2 linked regions of the Stegostoma tigrinum genome follow. The protein of the gene in region 1 interacts with the protein of each later gene in a pairwise test. Links are inferred from orthologs where the notes say so. Each region holds a gene or a part of one and is shown on either strand. Other genes may lie near its edges.

The links. The genes of interacting proteins can lie anywhere in the genome.
Region 2: the proteins of eea1 (region 1) and ras-related protein Rab-5B interact in binary tests that used the Homo sapiens proteins (3 or more experiments, as listed by UniProt). The link is inferred for Stegostoma tigrinum from reciprocal best matches to the Homo sapiens genes EEA1 and RAB5B.

What each region holds. Positions count from the first base shown.
Region 1 is NC_081378.1:49,457,047-49,467,194, reverse strand, and holds the start of eea1 (early endosome antigen 1), read left to right. Parts: upstream 1-5,453; 5' UTR 5,454-5,555; coding exon 5,556-5,579; intron 5,580-10,148. UniProt on the Homo sapiens protein: Binds phospholipid vesicles containing phosphatidylinositol 3-phosphate and participates in endosomal trafficking.
Region 2 is NC_081404.1:10,987,762-10,997,795, forward strand, and holds the start of ras-related protein Rab-5B, read left to right. Parts: upstream 1-6,181; 5' UTR 6,182-6,294; intron 6,295-6,952; exon of another isoform or gene 6,953-7,007; intron 7,008-10,034. UniProt on the Homo sapiens protein: The small GTPases Rab are key regulators of intracellular membrane trafficking, from the formation of transport vesicles to their fusion with membranes.

The sequences.
Region 1 (10,148 bases):
AATAGCCACGTGGACAAACGTGTGTCAACTTGGGAGAGCCAGCATCAATTTCTTAAGGCAAAATCATGCTTAACTAACTTTGCATACTTCTATGTACCAGGAACAGAGAGGCTTGATGAGGGTGTTGATGTGGTGCACATTCCCAAAAGACATATGATACAGTGGCACATAACAAACTTGTGATAAAATTTAACTCATGGAATAAAAGGGGCTGTGGCAATGTGGATGCAAACTCAGCTGAACAAAAGGAAACAGCGAGCAATGGCCAATGATATTTTTCAGGCTGGAGGAATGGAATTCCCAAGCAAGGTAGCTTGCTCTTCCTGATTTATGTTAATGATATAAACATTGGGGCAGGGGAAGTTGGAAGCATTCTTAATGTAGGAAGGACAGTGCAGACCTTCAAAAGGATATTCACAAGTAGATGGAGTGGTCAGATAGGTAGCAGATGAAGTTTAATGAAGAGAAATATGTGGTGATACATTTTGGGAGAAACAATATGTCGAGACAATACACAATAAAGGGGACTATTCTAAGGTAGTAGAGAGACCCGAGTGCATAAGTCATTAAAGGTGGCAAGACTGGTGGAGAACTCTAGCCTTCATTAATAACGGGACAGAGTCCAAGAGCAGGGAGGTAGTGTTGAACATGTTCAGGCACAAGTTAGATTTCAGTTGGAATAAAAGTGCTACACTTCAGGAATTTTTTGAGAGAGCACAGAGAAGTTTACAAGAATAGTTCCAGGGATGACACATTTCAGCTGTGAGGGTAGATTGGAGAAATTCATAGATTCATAGAGCACAGAAAAGGCCCTTCGGCCCATCGATCCTGCACCAACGTAACTACCCTCAGTGGTTAGCACTGCAGCCTCACAGTGCTGGGGACCTGAGTTTGACTCCAGCCTCGGGTGACTGTCTGTGTGGAGTTTGCACATTCTCACTGTGTCTGTGTGGGTTTCCTTCGGGTGCTCCGGTTTCCTCCCACAGTCCAAAGGTGTGCAAGTTAGGTGGACTGGCCGTGCTAAATTGCCCATGGTGTTCAGGAATGCATAGGTTAGTTGGGTTATGAGGGATGGATCTGTGTGGGATGTTCTGAGGGGTGGTGTGGACTTGTTGGGCCGAAGGGCCTGTTACCACACTGTAGGGATTCTATGATGCTATGACATTGGGACTGTCTTCCTTTGAGAGGAGAATTGATTGTAATTTTCAAAATCATAAGAGATCTGGATGGCACAGAGAGCAAATCTATTCCTGCTTTCAAAAGGGTGAAGAACGGGAGGGCACAGTTTTAAAGCAATTTGCAAAAGGGGTAAGTATGACGAGAGTAGTTTTCACCCTCCAAGTGATTAGGGTCGGGAATGTACCTCCTGGAAACGTGATGGAGGCAGGTTCAATGGAGGTATTGAGATCACAAAGTGCAGAGCTGGATGAACACATAGTCCAAGCAGCATCAGAGGAGCAGGAAACTGACGTTTCGGGCCTAGACCCTTCTTCAGATATTGTTTCTATTTAGATAATCATCAATATGTGGGGTTACAGGGGAAATTCAAGAGAATGGTACTAGATCATGACACTCATTAAGAGAACTGGAATAAACACAATGGGCTGAATGGCTTTTTCTGTCATTCTGTGTGGTTTATTTCAGCAAAATAAAGAAAACAAACTAGGAAGGATCACTTGGTAGAGTGAAGAACATTATAATATATTTAATATTTTGACAAGAAATAGTATTACTGGTATTCAGTTTTGATTTTAGAAAATGGTATAGAAAAGGTATTTGTTATAAATAGCATTAGTTGGATTTAGTCATGGGACTTTTGAGCAAAGCAGAAATACAAGAAAACATCTGCAGATGGTCACCATAAAACAACTATAATGCCTTGGTCATACACTCAAGAGACGGAAACTAAAACACCTGGTGCTAATGGGTAAGATTGAGGGTAGCAGAAAAAGAGGAAATAAAGGGGAAATACCCTGACAATTTAAGAAACAAAACAGCTACATGATTTGAGAGAGATAGTAGGAACTGCTGATGCTGGAGAATCTGAGATAACACTGTGTGAAGCTGGATGAACACAGTAGGCCAAGGAACATCAGAGAAGCAGGAAGGCTGACGTTTTGGGCCTAGACCCCCCCCCAGGATCTGTGTGAGCTTGCACTGAGGATTACTAGAACAGTGGGCTCAAGACGGAAATGTTGGTGTGGGAACACAGTGGTGTGGTGAAGTCACAGCTAACTGGAAGCTCGGGGTCATTTTTGAAAACAGAGCTTGGGTGTCCTGCAAAGCAGTCACCCAGTCTGTATTTCATCTCCCCAGTGTCGAGGAGACCACATTGTGGGCAGGGACTACAGTAGATGTGTTTGAGGCCGTGGATAGTGAGGAGGGAGGTGAGCAGGTAGGTGTAACACCTTCAGCGTTTGCATAGGATGGTGCTGTGGGAGAGTGGGGAGGTGTTGGGAATGGGCGAGGAGTGGGCCAAGGTGTCCCAGAGGGAACAGAATGCTGACAAAGGGTGGGGAGAGGAACATGTGCCTGTTTGCGGCATCCCGCTAGAGGTGACGGAGTTGGCGACTTACAATCCTTTAGATTCAGAGGCTTGGTGGTGTTGTAAGTGAGGACTGTGGGATCCTATCGTTGATGTGGGAGGGAAGGGAAGGGGTAAAGGCAGATGGGCCAGACATGGCTAAGGGTCTTTCAACCACAGTAGCGGGGAATCCTCAGTTGAGGAAAAAGCTGGAAATTTCCTGGGCTCCCTGAGGAAAGTGGCATCGTCAGAACAGACACAACAGTGATGGAGAAACTGGGAGAATGCGATCAAGTTTTTACTAGAAGCAAGGTGCGAGAATGTACAGTCCAGGTAACCAGGCAAGTTGGTGGGTTTCTAGCAGATGTCAGTGGCCAGCCTATTTCCCCAGAAATAGAAACAGGACATTAATGAAAGGAAGGGAGGAGTCAGAGATGGCCCAGATGAGGGTGAGGGTAGGGTGGAAATTGGAAGTGAAATTGATCTTTTTTTCCCAGATCAGGACAAGGGAGGGAGGCAGCACAGATTAGATTAGATTCCCTACAGTGTGGAAACAGGCCCTTCGGCCCAACAAGTCCTCACCCCCCCGGGAGCATCCCACCCAGAGCCATCCCCCTACAACCCACACACCCCTGAACACTACAGGCAATTTAGCATGGCTGATCTACCTAGCCTGCACATCTTTGGACTGTGGGAGGAAACCGGAGCACCTGGAGGAAACCCACACAGACATGGGGAGAATGTGCAAACTCCACACAGACAGTTACCCAAGGGTGGAATCGAACCTGGGTCCCTGGCGCTGTGAGCCTGCAGTGCTAACCACTGAGCCACCATGCCGCCCCAGGTGTCATTGATGTCGTTGATGTACTAGAGAAAGAATTGTGGGGAAGAGTCTAAAAATTGATAGACAGCCTGCTTGATAGACAGCATAATGTTTACCTGGAAAACTGGGTTTTCAGTACGTTAAAAGTAAAGGAGAAAAATTTTGGTTCTATAATTTAAAGTAAAGGCAGTGTTCAGTCATTGTTACTTTTAGTTAATTTGTTACAATAAATCTCAAAAATACAATCTCCTCATGTTGGCCTTTCATCTGTTAACTGGAAGTTCAAATTTCTTTTGTAAGAAGGTCAAGTGAGGTGGGAGAAGCGGATAGGTGGGAGAGAAGATGGACAGGTTGTGTCAGGTCAAGGAGGCTGGATGAGAGGGAGGGTTGGTCATGGGATGAGGCCGGACTTGGGGAGATTTTAAAACTGGCAAGGTCCACGTTTAGGCCATTGGGCTGTAGGCTCCCGAGGCGGAATATGAGGTGCTGCTCCTCCAGTTTCTGGGTGGCGTCATTGTGACACTGGAGGAGACCCAGGATGGACACGTCACCCAGGGAGTAGGAGGGGGAGTTGGAATGGTTCGGGACTGGAAAGCGTTGTCATTTGTCGTGAATCAAGTGTAGGCACAGTACAAAGCGATCTCCGAGCCTCTGCTTGGTCTCACCGATGTAGAGGAGGCCACATCAGGAGCAGTGGATGCAATAGACCACATTGACGGATGTGCAGGTGAATCTCTGTCTGATGTGAAAGGTTTGTTGGGTGCCTTGGATGAGGGGGGAGGTGTAAGGGCAGGTGTAGCACATCCTGCAGTTGCAGGGAGAGGTGCTGAGGGCTGTGGGGCTGGTGGGATTAGTGGGGAGTGTGGATCGGACGAGGGAGTCACCGAGAGAGCAGACCCTAAGGGAGGCAGATGGGGATGGGAAGGAAATATATTGTTGGTTGTGGGTTCAGATTGTAGGTGGTGGAAGTGGCGGAGAATGATATATTGGATACGCAGGTTGGTGGGGTGATATGTTAGGACAAGGGGAATTCTGTCTTTGTTTTTGTTGGGGGGGAGGGGTTGTGAGGGCAGAAGTGCGGGAAACACAAGAGATGCAGTGGAGAGCATTTTTGACCACTAAAGGGGTGAAGTTGTGGTCCTTGAAATAAGAGGACACCTGGGATGTTTGGGAGTGGAACACCTAATCTTGGGAGCTGATGCGGCGAAGGCGGAGGAATTAGGACTAGGGGATAACATTCTTGCAGGAATGTGGGTGAGAGGAGGTGTTGTCTAGGTAGCTGTGGGAGTTGGTGGGCTTGAAATAGATGTCAGTTTTGAGGCGGTCAGCAGAGATGGAGGCAGAGAGATCTAGGAAGGAGAGAGAGGTATGGCACTAACCCCCACCTCTTCCTATGCTACCCCGGTGACACCTCCCCCAACCCCTGGCCCTACCCTACGGGCAGCTCCATCAACCCCTGGCCCTACCCCGGTGACACCCCCCCAACCCCTGGCCCTACCCTGCCGGCACATCCCCCGACCCCACCCCGGGGGCACCTCCCCAAACCCCTGGCCCTACCCTGGGTCACCTCCCCCAACCCCTGGTCCTACCCTGAGGACACCTCCCCAAACCCCTGGCCCTACCCCGGGGACACCTCCCCAAACCCCTGGCCCTACCCTGCGGGCACCTCCCCCAACCCTACCCCAGGGGCACCTCCCCCAACCCCCGGCCCTACCCCAGGGGCACTTCCCCCAACCCCTAACCCGGTGACACCTCCCCCAACCACTGGCCCTACCCTGCGGGCACCTCCCCCAACCCCTGGTCCTACCCTGAGGACACCTCCCCAAACCCCTGGCCCTACCCTGCGGGCACCTCCTCCAACCCTACCCCAGGGGCACCTCCCCCAACCTTCGGCCCTACCCTGCGGGCACCTCCCCCAACCCCCAACCCCTGGCCCTACCCCGGGGGCACCTCCCCCACCCCCTGGCCCTAACCCGGTGACACCCACCCCCAACCACTGGCCCTACCTTGCGGGCACCTCCCCCAACCCCACCCCGGGGGCACCTCCCCCATCCCCTCGGCCAGGGGGCGTTAGTGCTCAGGCCCCTCCCTTTCTGGGTGGGGCTAACACAGCCGGCTGCTGGCTCTGGCAGGACAAGGAGGAGGCGGCGGCCCAGGCTCTGCTCAACGTGTCCCCGGCTCCGTCTGTCTCTCGGGCAGGACCAGGCCATGTTCCGCCGGATTTTGCAGCGGGTGAGTCTGAGGGATACGGGCTGGGATCCCGGCCCCGGCAGGCAGGCCCTGGGTACTCCTCCCCATCCTGCAGGAGCCAAGGCCTGAGTGCGGCCTGCGGCAGCATCGAGCCCCACCCGGGACGGGGCACGGACCACCCCCACCCCGACACACACACACCCCGTTCTCATCTCACACCCACCACCCTCACCCCGTCTGTCACTGTTCTCCCTACCCTCAACCCCCAGCCACCTCCCCACCTTTGACACCATCCATTTTGGGGTGGGGTCGCATAGCTCTGTGTTTGTGTCTAAGGGTTTTTCTGGGTGAGTGGGTGGTGTTGGTCGAGGGGCTGTTGTGGGTGGGCAGTATGTCTGAGGCGGGCAGCTATTTGGGGTGGTTCAGGGTCACTGGGAGGATTGGTTGGGTTGTGATCTTGTGTGAGTCTGTGTGTTCCTGAATGTGGGAATGGGGTTGGGTGTGTCTGGGAATAAATCTAATTGAAACTGTGTCAGAAAACAGGCTTTGTCTCCTTTCATCAACTATCCTTCCCAATTCACTCTGAAGTTAGTGGATTATCATTAATACTGGGCAGGGTTGTAAATCCCGATCCCATAAGCCATCCATCTGCTGAACGGGGTTAAAACTGCATTCTGTGCCCTGGTGTATTTTCTGTATTTCCTTGTTTTAAAGGTTGTGTTAGATTTCTTGTGCAATGTTATTTTTGTCTGTTGTCAGTTTTCTGTGTTTGACAGTTCTGTTGCTGTCTGGTGTGTTAGACATATTCCAGAAGAATGAGACTGGCTTCCTACAGTGGCTTGATGTTATTTTGGGACCTGAGACACATGCTTCCAGGAGTGTGGTATTAGCAGAGAATATATTCTCTAAAAGAAGCTCATTTGTTATGGCACCTACACTCAGGTCCTGCTCGGTGTCCGTCTCTGCTCTCACCGTTATTGGTCTCTCTGCAGATCATAACAAATGTCTCCCAGAATGTTTCTATTCAGTCGCTTTATTTCACATTTGCTCAACACATGGCAAATTATTTACCAGCCAATTCCTGGTGCCTCTTTACCTTGTGTGTGATATAGGTGAGTGGTAAGCATCTTGATTCTGGGTCATGTTATAGACCCAATACTAAAGCTGAGATAAAGAAACTTGGCTACCAGTGCATTACTGGGACTAGACATGCCTTGGCAGAGGGTCACAACTGAGGGGTGGAGATTTGGAGGGGGTTTTGCTTTGGCTTTTTGTCTAAGTGTTAGGGGTGTTGTGGGACACTATCCTGGGGGGAGTTGTTGTGCTGATACTCTGCCCTGTTTGGCCCAACCATCTTCAGCTGCTTCCTCAATGACCTTACGTCCATCATAACATTAGAAGTGGCGATGTTTGCTGATAATTGCACATTATTCAGCACTATTTGCAACTCCTCAGATACTGAGGCAGTCTATGTTCAACAGGATCTGGACAATATCCAGCCTTGGGCAAAACAAAAAGGTGGCAAGTAACTTTCATACCATGCAATTGTCGGGCAATGACCATTACCAATAAGAGACAATCCACCCACTTTCCCTTGACATTCAATGGTGTTACCATCAGTGAATCATCCGCTCTTCACGTCCTGGGAATTACGATTGATCGGAAACTCAATTGGACTTGCCATATAAATACAGAACAAGTCAGAGGCTGGAAATACTGCAATAAGTAACTCACCTCCTGAATCCCCAAAGCCTAACCGCCATCCACAAGGCATGTGTCAGGAGTGTGATGGAATACTCCCCACTTGCCTGGATTAGTGCAGCTCCAACAACACTCAAGAAGTTTGACACCATCCAGGATAAAGCATTTCCACAATATGACAAAATTGTTACAGCGCACGAGGAGCCCATTTAGCCTATTGTGCCTGGCCTGGTTTTGTTACCTATTGCCTGACTCTTCTCCATATCCCTGCACACCATTTACATCTCAGTAATCATCTAATGACTTTTAGAATGCCTCTATTGAACCTGCCTCCATCACATTTCCTGGTAATGCATTCCATACTCTAACTGCTTGCCCCCAAAAAAGTTCTGTCACATCATCCTTGCTTCATTTGTGCATCCTTTTATATCTAGTTCCTCGCAATTTTTTTTAGCAGGAATAGCTTCTCCTGGTCTACTCTGTCTAGTCCTTTCATGGTTTTGAGGACCTACATCAGAAATCCTCTTTGCTGCCTTCTCTCAAAGGAGACCAATCCCAACTTCTTCAATCTATCCTAATAACTGTAGTTTCTCATCCCTGGATCCATGCTTGTAAATAATCTATGTCCTACCTGCAGTGCATTCACATCTTTCTTATAATGTCCCTACAACTGTACACAGAATTCTGGATGAGGTCTATTATGTGTCTTGTGCAATTTCAACATTACCTCCCTGTTTTTGTACTGTATGCCGCTATTAGTATAGCTGACCGCAGAGCTTTATTAACTGCAATCTCCAAATGGCCTGCCACTCTCATTGATCTTTTGATAGATGTGTATGGGTCCCTTTGCTTATCCACTCTTTTAGGATTGTATTGTTTTTTACTGTTTTAGAATGTTCTTCTGACCAAATCTTTGAATATTCTACTGAACAAAAACACTTTTGTCCACTTTTTTGGACAGAAGCAGTTCTAACAACACACGGAAAGCACAGCAACAGTCAGGAACAAATTGCATGCTGACTGTACTTCACCCACTTTAAAGGCACTCCTCTGTCTGGTGGTAGCATTGTACTTGTTAGGGCTCCTTCACCTGCTAGCCTGCAACCTTAGGCCCTGAGAAGGTACTAAATTAGATTACTTCTGAGGAAGGGTTGCAAGACCCGAAACATTAACTGAATTTTTCTTGACAGATGCTGCCAGACCTGTTGAGCCTTTCCAGCAATTTCTGTTTTCCTGAGTTACAGCATCTGCAGTTCTTTTGGTTTTTAATTACCAATTTAGATGTGTTTATTCTGTACATTGCAATGGGTTGATGCTCAGAGAGGTGTTGAGTTACTTCTGTTCTGGGATTGCATTTGAATAACGCTGATTGGAAAGTGGGTAAAGGTGAGATATTTGAAGTATAGTAGGACAGTGTGCACATTCTGGGTCAAAGTCATGTGATATGTTACATGGTTCATGAGGATTCATGCATGGCTTTTACATGTAGGCAGATGAGGTGCAGTTGACGCTCAGTCATGATAATGCTTGTTTTTTTTGATATGTTTTTGTTTCTGAATGTTGCTCCTCACAAGTTCATTAACATCCTCTGAGGGGCCCCCATGTTTTCCACTCTGTGAGTTTGCCTCAGTCTAATGTGAGTTTGCACATTATGATCTCTTTCTAGTCCGTCCTTGCTGACGCATTTGATGCTGTGCTTTGCATTCCAGCCAGTTGGCACTGTCAGGAATGAGAGGTGTTTGACTTTGAGGTTGAACAAGTGGGAGGGCATACATGAAGCCATTAGCCAGAATTGTTGCTGTGTTGTGATGGAAAAATCATTCACTGTATGGCTCCTGTGGCTGAGAGGTCAATTTTCTCATTGCAGTCTTGTCTGTGTACTTTCATATTTCAGAAAGTGGTGTTTATGGAATGATTGAAACAGGCCTGTGCACTGATGTGACAGAAGTTAACAATCTTGAAAGCAGTGGGTTTGCAGAACTGTGATGTGGGACCTGAGATTTAAAGGAGCAGTTATAGGTGGATCAACTGAGGACAGAAATAATGCATTTTTAAGTTGGACTCATCCTGACAGGTACTGGGCTGAATCTGGTTCTTTGACATCTGTTGACAAGCCCATCAGTTGTGCAACACAAACAGGTCATTCAGTCCATGGACCTATGTCAATGTTTATGCTCTAGCCAGCCTACTTCATTTACCCTATCAGCATATCTTTGTACTTTTTTTTATTCCCTCCCTGATGTTAATCCAGCTTCTCCTTTACATGTCATTATGTTGTTTGCCTCATGTGGGAACAAGCTTGACATTCCCACCACTCTGAGTAAAAAGGTTTCTCTTGTTCATCCTATCAGATTGACTCTTTGTTAAAACATTAGCTGAATAACCCTGAGCATGCTAATAATTATGCTGACAACCAATGTAAGGTTGTCAGCTCAGTTTGCAGTGTGGCTCACTTGGAAGAACTACATATAAAATGGCACAAGACCCTATTTGCAGATAACATGTACTCACATCTGTTTCAACGTAACAAAATGGCAGCAGCCAATATCAAGTCGGTTTCTTGGGAGCCACGTCCTGATGAAATTATTCAGAGTCAACTTTCCTGATATAGCTTGGCAGTTAACTGTCAGTCATGAACTAACTGATACAATCTCCATTGCAACATGTCTACCAATTTGAGTCCACTTGACATCGCGATAGCATTTATTTTGATAATATTGTCATACTTAACGTTGGTACTCTTGCAGATGTCCTGATAAGTGCTCGAAAGGTTTTGACAAAATGTCTTTTGCAGCAGTGCACAAATGGAACTTTCATATTGTTTTTATCACACTCATTAATTGTAATCATAGCCTCCCCTTAGACATTCTCTCTTTGGCGAAAGAGTCTCAGCTTCTTCCATCTATCCTG
Region 2 (10,034 bases), on another chromosome or scaffold:
ATCAATAATGCAATTGACATTATCATGGAGGCCTGGGGTCATGTCAGTAAGGACTGCTTGCATACAGTTTGGCAGAAGCTTTTCCCAGACTTTTTTCAAGATTTTAAAGGCTTTGATCCATCAGAGGAGCTCCCAAGAATCAAAGAACATTGTGTTGATCTTGCAAAGCAAGTTGGATTTGAAGAAGTGGAGAGTGAGGATGTTGAAAAACTGCTTGAATCCTGTTGTGGAGACCTGTCTACAGCTTGATCTACAACAACTTGTCGCTGAGGGGGAAGTGGAAGCTGGAGATGAAGAAGAAGTAGTCCAGGATGCAGCAGCACAAGGGCTTTCCACTTCTGTTTTGTCTTCTATCCTAAGGGAAATTGAGAAGCAGTTGTAGCTGTTAGAGGACAGTGATTATAATAGAACACAGGAGGGTAGCAGTTCGTGGAATAAGATCTTATTTGGACCCTATGAGCAGCTTCTTCATGAAAGAAGAAAAAGGGTAAAGCAGCAAAAACTGGATGTCTTTTTTAAGCCAACTCTCAAGAAACAGAAGACAATGAACCACAGCCATCCACTTCTGGATTAACTATTTTCCACCCAAATCCTGCAACCACAACTGCACCTGAAGGCGATGATGACGACGATGATCCTCCGCCCCTGCATTAGAAACACAGCAACCTTAAAACTTACCCCCCCATCAAGTCATCTTGACGCTTTTTAAAGGCACGTTGTTAAATTTACTTTTATTTCATTATTAGATATGAATTAAAGATTTAGTCAAACTCTGCTATCCTTTGTGTTAGGCTTTTGAGTAATTTTTGAGAGATTTTGAGTGATTTTTTTTGGTGATCTGCCCATAACCCCACTTTTCCCATAGGCCCCATTATTTCTATAGCACGATTTTCTATTATACAATGTTGCGCAGGAATGCAACTATCGCGTTGTAGCAGAACCAACTGTATTATTTGAAAATATACACAACTGGAAAACAAAGGGAGAACTCTTTAAAAACACCTTTATTTAGGAACAAATAATGATACATGTAATAAATATTGGAGTATCAAACTAGTAGTATATGGATTCTCCTCCCCCCATGTTTAAACTACATACAGAAAATGGTGCCTTGCTATTGGACGCATTTAATGTGAACACGCACGTGCTCTGTCACAACCCAGACGTCATGGAAGAAAATGGTGCTGCTGAAAGTGTGTAATATGAATAATTGCATTGAGGATAAATGACAGATGAGACAGAGGAAGTGGGTGCAGAATCACATGCCTGCAGGTAGGCCCCTGCTCTCACAAGGCTAGAGAGGGCAGACATTCCTGCTGCCAGCCTTCCACTCTCCCACCCCACCCACCAAACCCCCTTGGTTCACAGCATGTACGGTGGCCTTGCTGCATTATGTGCAATCACAAATCACTCTAGATCAGATCTACTTAACTAGTTCAAATAACATCCATGAAGTTACAAGATCCCGGATGAAGATCATTGAAGGTAAAAGCCTAACTCATTGGCAAAGCTCTGATGTAAGGGAAGAATATTCTCGGAATCTCTGTCATTCAGAATTGAGAATATTCTCTACACAGCAGAAAGGCCTGCTTAAAGTTCAGATTAACTTGTGAAGTCAATGAAATTGCTGATGCTGAGCAAACAACTATATTTCAGTGAGTTTACAAAATTGTTTTCAGAGCAGGGAAACTTAAAGACTGAATATCCCATCATCTACATGATGCTAAACCAATTTGCTTATGCATGCTGAGGACATTGTTGGGCAAAATTTAAGATAAGAAATAGAAGATGGACTACAACACAGAGTAATTTCAGCAGTTACCATGCTAACAAGATGGTATTCCAGTACGATTAGTTTTCCAAAAAAATATATTTCAATAAGAATGTGCGTAGATTTAATGCAGTTCAACAAAGCAGTGGAGCATGAATTCACCTAATGGCTTTTAATCAATGAAAGTCTGGCAAAATTTGCCAAGAGCACCCTATGCATTAAACAGTGGATTTTGACATTTACCTCTGGATGAGGACTCTAGAAAGTTAACTGAATTGATTACACCTTTCAGGTATTATTGTTTGAAAAGAATACCTTTCAGAATTGCACTCATCCCAGAAATGTTTCAGAGAATAATGTCCAATACATTAAAAGAACTCAACTGTATAAAATGTCATTTAAAAAATGAAAGAACAGGGTTGAAGGGTTTGAACTATAGGGAGAGGCTGAATAGGCTGGGGCTATTTTCCCTGGAGCATCGGAGGCTGAGGGGTGACCTTATAGAGGTTTATAAAATCATGAGGGGCATGGATAGTGTGAATAGTCAAGATCTTTTCCCCAGGGTAGGCAGTTCCAAAACTAGAGGAACATAGGTTTAAGATGAGAGGGGAAAGATTTAAAAGGGACCCAAGGGGCAACATTTTCACGCAGAGGGTGTTACGTGTATGGAATGAGCTGCCAGAGGAAGTGGAGGAGGCTGGTACAATGACAACATTTAAAAGGCATCTGGATGGGGACATGAATAGGAAGGATTTAGAGGGATATGAGCCAAATGCTGATAAATGGCACTAAATTAATTTAGAATATCTGGTCGGCATAGACAAGTTGGACCAAAGGGTCTGTGTCCATGCTGTATATCTCGATGACTCTGTGGCTCTATAACTGCGGATGCTGTAAATCAGAAACAAAAACAGAAGTTGCTGGAAAATCTGAGCAGGTCTGGCAGCTTCTGTGGACAGAAATCAGAGTTAACTTTTTAGCTTCCACAGTTCTGACCCGAAAAATTAACTCTGATTTCTCTCCACAGATGCTGCTACACCTAGAACATAGAACATTACAGCACAGTACAGGCCCTTCGGCCCTCAATGTTGTGCCGACCTGTCATACCGATCTCAAGCCCATTTTTGTTTCTCTAGGAAACAATCACACAAAATGGTCAGCTTTTCCAGCAATATTTGTTTTTATTTCAGAATTAAGTTAGCTTGTTTAAGTTTGACTTCTGACTTTGTCCACCCCAGCACCTCCACATCATGTTTAAGTCTGTTTAAGGGTCTCAGGAAGAGATATTGACTAAAGAAATAGCATTGAGTGAATGCAAAGGCTTTCTGAAAAGAAACCGAGTACAGCCATGCCAACTGAACTTTAAATTGCAGGCTTTTGTGAATATGTTCTATGACTGACTAGCACAATAGAAATAAAATGTATGGTCTATCAAGCCAGGTTTCACTTTGGGATCTGACTTGTCCAATAGTACCACTAGCTGGGATCATAACGAAGCCACTAAAATCATTTTCTGAAGAAGGGTCAAGGCCCAAAATGTCAACTTTCCTGCTCCTCTGATGCTGCCTGGCTGCTGTGTTCATCCAGCTCTACACTGTGTTGTCACTGAAATCACAGAAAAGCTATGAGAATTTTCTCACCTAGGAATGTCATGGAAATTCAAAGACTCCTTGCTATGGTGAATTTATTGGGCAAGTTTCTACCAAACTTGGCAGAGGTTAATAAGCCTTTGTAACAGCTTTTAAAATACATTTGTCAATGGTGCTGCAACATCGACCAAGAAAGTGCTTTCAAAAAATTTAACAACTTCTGATCTCTTCAGAAATCGTAGCAACTATCATCCAGGTTTACCGAATATAATAGCGATAGATATGTAATCTACAGAATTGGGGGCAGTGCAATTTCAAATGCAGGAAAATGAAAAGCATGCACAAGTTTAGTATGCCACTAGATCACTAACAGAAACAGAACAGTATTACACCATGATTGAGAAAGAAACTTTAGCAGTAACATGGCATATGAAGGTTACACCTCAAAATTGAAACCAACCATAAACCCTGTCTTCTGATCACAAAAGAAATCGCCTAGATGCTGCCTAGAAGTCAGTGGTTCAGGTTAAAATTTGTGAGGCATAATTCAATTACTGAGTATGTCCAAGGGAAGTACCAAACAACAGCAGAAACTCTCTCAAGGATACCATCAGAACAAAAGGTTAAACCTTAGTATTGAGGAGCTTGAAGCCTACACTTCAGAGGTTACTAACCACTTACCAGTTACTGAAAGGAAGTTGTCAAATATACAAGAAGCCCAAAGATAGGATGAAGAAAATATTGAAATCCAGAAATATGGTCTGGAAGGATAGTCAAATTATATACCTAATAATCCAACACTGCCCCAGTATCTCGTACAGCACAAACACCTGTTTTTGATGACTTGCTAGTCTTTAACAAGAGCTTGACTGTAAGACATCAGAGCAGAAGTAAGGCATTCAGCCTATTGAGTCTACCTTCCCATTTCAACAAGATCATGGCTGATCTGCTAATGCTCAACTGCACTTTCTTGCCTTTTCCCAAAGCTTTACCCTGTATCTAACCCCTTGCCGTACCTGTCCTGCAATTCCTTAAACACTAAAGTGCCAAGTTGAACTTGTACCACCTAAGTGCCAGGCAGAGACCATTTCCACTAAGAGAGAAGCTAACCATCTCCCCTTTATCTTCAGTGTCATTACCATGGCTGAATTCCCACTGTCAACATCCTGGGGGTAAAACAGTGACTAGAAGCTTAACTAGACCAGCCATATGAACGAAGAGATCAGATCAGAAACTGGAAATTCGGCAGTGAGTAACTCACCTCTTGACTCCTCAAAACCATGTACAAGTCAGGAGAGTAATCATGCATACACACTCTTCTCTTGACAAGTTTGAGGCAGGAATGAGGAGAAATGTTTTTCACGGAGGGAGATTGATCAGTGGATTCCCTTCTCCAGAAAGCAGTGGAGGCTGGATCATTGAATATTTTAAAAACTAATTTAAGTAGATAATTGATTGATAAGACAAATAGGTGGTAGACAGGAAAGTGGAGTTAGTGCCACAATAAAATCAACTGCGACCTTATCAAATATTGGAGCAGGTTCAGAGACTTAGTCCTGTTCCTAATTTCTATGTTCATATATAATGAATGTTGATGAGTACAGACCCAACAACACTCAAGAAAAGTGACACTATCCTGGGCAAATCAATCAACTTAATTGGCACTCGTCCATCATCTTAAAATATATTCTCTCCACCATCAGTCCAAACTTGTAGTAGTTTGTGCTATCTAGAAGGTGCATTACAGGAATTTGTCAAGCCTCCAAATCTACAACCACAATCATGCAGAAGGACAAGGCAGCAGACAAATGGGTATTTCCTTCACTGTCACATGATCAAAATCCTGCAACTCCCTTCCTAAGAACGCTGTGGGTCTGGCTACTGCACATGGACTGCAATGGTTCAAGAAGGCACTCACCAATTTAGAGATATACAATTACTACTGCTAGTGAAGACTAAATTGCATTAAAAATTACAAATTATTATTGTGTATTATGTACAAATTGCCTGTAATACTCATTAAATCCCTACAGAGTGGAAGCTTGGTCCATTTGGCCCATCAAGTCCATACCAACCCTCCTAACAGCATACCACCCAGACTCACCCTGTTCCCAAGTTTCAACAGACTTAACGCGCACATCTGTGGACTGTGGGAGGAAACTGGAACACCCAGAGGCTAACCACTGAGGCACTGTGACACCCCGTGTTTCCCTACATTACACCAGTGTTTAAAATTCAAAAATGTTTTCTCAGCTGCAACGAATTTTAGGTTTTCCTGAGGCAGTGAAAAACATTATAGAAATTCAAGCTCTTTCTTAAGTGACCCCCAAGAGATGGAAATGTACTCACATAAATGCTGCAAGTTTGGTCGAATTGAAATTATTTCAAAGAAATAGGGATATTCTGTCCTGTTAAATCTAACAACAGGAATTTAAATCAATCATTCAATATTAGGAGCGCTTTGGGCCTTCCTGTATATTATTATGATGATATATTAATTGCGCTATGCAAAAAATGCAACGCATATATTTTCCAATTATAGAAGTCAACTCTGACCTCATTGTTTTCTGTCACCTGATGACAAAGGGGCAACCAACTTCACCGGACCACAGGAAGTCCCGCCTTCACTAGATCAGCTTTCTGATTGGTTCACTTACCATAATCACCTATTCCTAAAATCATTTGGCCAGTGGTCAGAATTTTCTGTTAATCACTTGGAGCACCTATCGCTATTGGTCATGTGCACGGCTCTACCCGCCTTCTTTTGTCATTGGTGAAATTAGCTGTCAATAAGGATTTGTCAACTTTTTATTCTATTCCAGTGCTGCCAATCAACTTACGCAGGCGGCAGTGGTCCAGACTTTTGGCTCGGTCTCCAGTTCATGCGACCCTATTTTTTAAAAAAAAACTTGTGAAGTTGAAGGCGTCGTGAAGGTAAAACAAAAATCTGATTCTAGTCATCATTGTTTGTAAATTACCTGTCCCTAATGAAAGGTAAATGTGGGTTCTTCCTAATTGAAGGTTCTGTGTTCCACAAAATGTTTTGCTAAGTGTTTTCCAATGGGCGGGTAGAAGCCGACTTCAATATTCATCAATGTATCTTCTATCCGAAGACCAGATTTTAACACTCCGCCCCCCACCACAAGTATGGCATTGATGTTGTCAGCCGATGGCTACTAACTTAGAGCAGGGTTTTTCCTTGAAGTAAGCCTTGATCCTTTCTTGCTATTGAGATTTCGTTTTGTTTCGGTGGGACGTTAAAATAACGTTCTGGACCATATTGCTAGTCTCCCCTATTGAAGTTGAGGACCATGTCATAGCGCTAATAACACTGTCTAATACAACGTAACACCCGTTTTCTAGTGCTTCTCTGTGGGGACAGTGTCCTCGACGTAATGTGACTGAGTGCTCAGCCCACTAATCTTTGTCTCTCGTATAAATCAAGCCGATGGCCCAAGACTATCTTTCCAATTAATTCAATTGAAAACAAACATGATTAATTGCCAATAGAGATCCACATGCATAGCCTATACTTGAATAAGTTAAAGGTCAATGAGCAAACTAATTTACTTGCGAGTGTCTTCTTCACCAGCAGTGCAGTTCGAGGAAAGAGCAACAAGACTGTGGGCCTAACAACCTCTGTAAAGGCAAGATTGTTTTTCCCTCAACAAATGCCAAACGTTTTCTGTCTGAATATTCCCAGCACTTTGCATTGTCAATAGTTTGTATTAATTTAAAAATTCAACTGACTCAAACAGCAAAAACCAGCTGCATGCAAGTGGTTCTCATATTTGATAGAATGTATTGTTTTACATATGGCTTCTCTCCTTTTGAAGGAAAGCAGCCACTACTTATTTTGAAGTAGATAGCTCCTACGAAGTGCAGTTGATTGCTCCATTTTTCAATTTAAGCAGCCAACAGGAGTGTCAATACTTTTAATTTTTAATTTTGCCTTTTCTCTCTCCTGGTTTTGTCTTCCATCTTGGATGTGGATGTACTTGCACTTAGTTTTTTTTCCTTTAGTGGTTCTGTGTGGGGGTTGGGTATTTATCTCACTGTGCAGACTGTTTCTTCAGTTCAAAGGTACTTTCATGCACCCTCCATTTAAGGGTGACTGGCTGATCCAGTGCAAGTCACTATTGACTAAGTTAAAACCTCTGCTCTAATCTGATCAGTTCTAGGTAAGACCCACAGCATTCCTCAGTGAAAGAGCCAAAGGCTCATCTATCAAGTCTGAATTAAGTAAAATCTCTAGGGGAAAATTGGGTTTTATCAACTGTTACTTGACTGCTCTTATGCAAGATACAGTTGCACTGGGGGAGCAAAATGATTATTGGGGCAAGGAAAGCCAAATCAAATGCCTGCAAATATAAAGTTCTTTGACTATTAATCACTTAATGCAGTGGTGAAGCAAACCATCATTGTAAAAAAAAGTCTAAATTGTCTAAGCTACTGTGCAGAAGTTTCACTTTTTTTGTAATATGTTCAAACTGCATTTTGTCTCTTTTTTTCTGGAGGTTTTATTGAGCTAGAGTCCTTCTGATATGAAGCATAGGGCCCTTCCAGTAAGCTATTTCTGTACACTTTTTCTTGCCTGGCTGCCCCTGTGGCTCAATTCAGTCTAGTTGAATTTTTTGGTAATATCATACTTTTGACTGAAAACTTGGTGTTTACTCTGAACATTTCCAGGTCTGCCTTTAAGGCTTCTTTCAGAATTGTGTTATGCCTGTAAACCCTAAATTCATCTCATCTAATCTAGTATTAGAATTCTTGGACTCTTATCTACTTGTGCTTATTTTGCATAGGATAGCAAATAAATGAAATGTTCCAGACCTTGAGATTGAGTAAACCTGAGTTCAGAAATGAACTTCAAATCTGGTTAGGCTTCCACAGTACATGTCTAATGTGGTAAAAGGACATCCTGTATTGTGCCTGTTTTTAAGTTAATTTCCATCCTGTTGCCACTGCTAACATGGCAGTGATTGGCAGTCTGGACATAGGGTTTGGAATCCACTGGGAACAAGACTTCCCATGCTATGGCTGTCAAAGCTCTTTCATCCCATCGCTGTTAACGTCATTCTTCAATCTGCACTAACCCCCTGTTTGTAGCCAGGTGTTTACTTGACTTAAAATTCAGTTAATGACTCTTGATGTTTTGAACCTTGGTGTTTTAGGTTAAATCAACCTGGGAAGCTTTATTGGTCCACACTTGACCAGTAAACACTGATCATCTCTTTTTGGATTGCTTTCATGAGTGGATTTTAATTCTTGAACTCCAGTAATAGCCATGGCACATGACGTATAAACTGTGTAGACAAGTAGTTTGTGCTGTCATCTAGTGACTGCAAAGCTGTGGCTAAACCTAGTTTATAGGAATGTGATTCATGGGGAATTTTGTAAATTTGAAGTAATGTGTATGAGTGAAACCTCCCAAAAGTGACTAGTCATTCTTTGCATTTCCAATATCCCCTTTAGTTTCACCAAACTTTTTTGCACCCTTGTTGCTTAATCCAAGCCAGCTGTTATGTTGTCAGTATGTGCAGGAGTTGGTGTTGTTGCTCATATTTCATGAAATAGAAATGTCTACCTACACAAAGGGAGCTAATCTTTAATATGCCTTTTTTAAACTTGAGTCACGGTGCTTGACCAATGTAAGAGTTGCTGGGAGGATGTGATGGCACAGGCTTGTTGAGTTTCAGTAATGCTACCTTCTTTAACTTGTAATCTTCTAGTGGAGAAGCAGTGTTCAATATTGTGTAAAGAACAAAATTTACAGCACAGGAACAGGCCCCTTGGCCCTCCAAGCCTGTCAATCCAGATTCCCCCTCAACTTGTTGCCTATCTTCCAAGGATCTGTATCCCTCTGTTCCTTGCCCATTCATCTATCTGTTTTAGATACATCTTAAATGACACTATCGTGCCTGCCTCTGACAGTGTTCCAGGCACCTGCCATACTCTGCATAAAGAACTTTCTATGCATGTCTCCCTTAAACTTTCCTCCTGTTGAACTGTAGGGTAGCTTGATCTTAGTAGGATAACAGGTGTAGCTTTCAGCTTTCTGGAAACCTAAACCTGAAACTGAGACAAGGCATGGTCATATAGTTTACAATGAGGTTCTTTTGCAGCTGTACTACTTGAATTTGTTCTGAGTGTTTTCAGGCTTATGGATTTAATTGCTTGTCTTGCTTGAATCAGGATGACTAGTGCTGCTTCTAACATGTGGCCAGAAGCCACAGTTAAGGAAATGTACAAATAGGTGAATTAAATGACTAGTCTTAGAATTGTTTTAAAGTACACACGCTCCTCTCCATCCTTACTACCCCCCACCCCAAAACAAATTCACATTATTACTTGCAACTAGATTTGGCTTTGACTCACTAAAATGTGCTAGAGTGAAGGGCTATTAGGGTTACTACCACTGCACCACATCTGAGCCAGAAGGCCTAGGTTCAGGTGTCTCCTGTTCAAGGCACAAAACATCTGAGCAAGTTAACTGGACTGAGGGCAAGAGTCAAAAGTTGAGTTGTTTTTACTTGTTCTGTTAACTGGCATTAGGGGCCCATTTCCCCACTGCAGCTCCTTTTTAATCAGTCACCTTGCAAACCAATCTGGCCTCATGCAGAACAATGGTGGTTTACCCTTCAGCAAGATGGTGAGAATGCTTTGATCTTAAA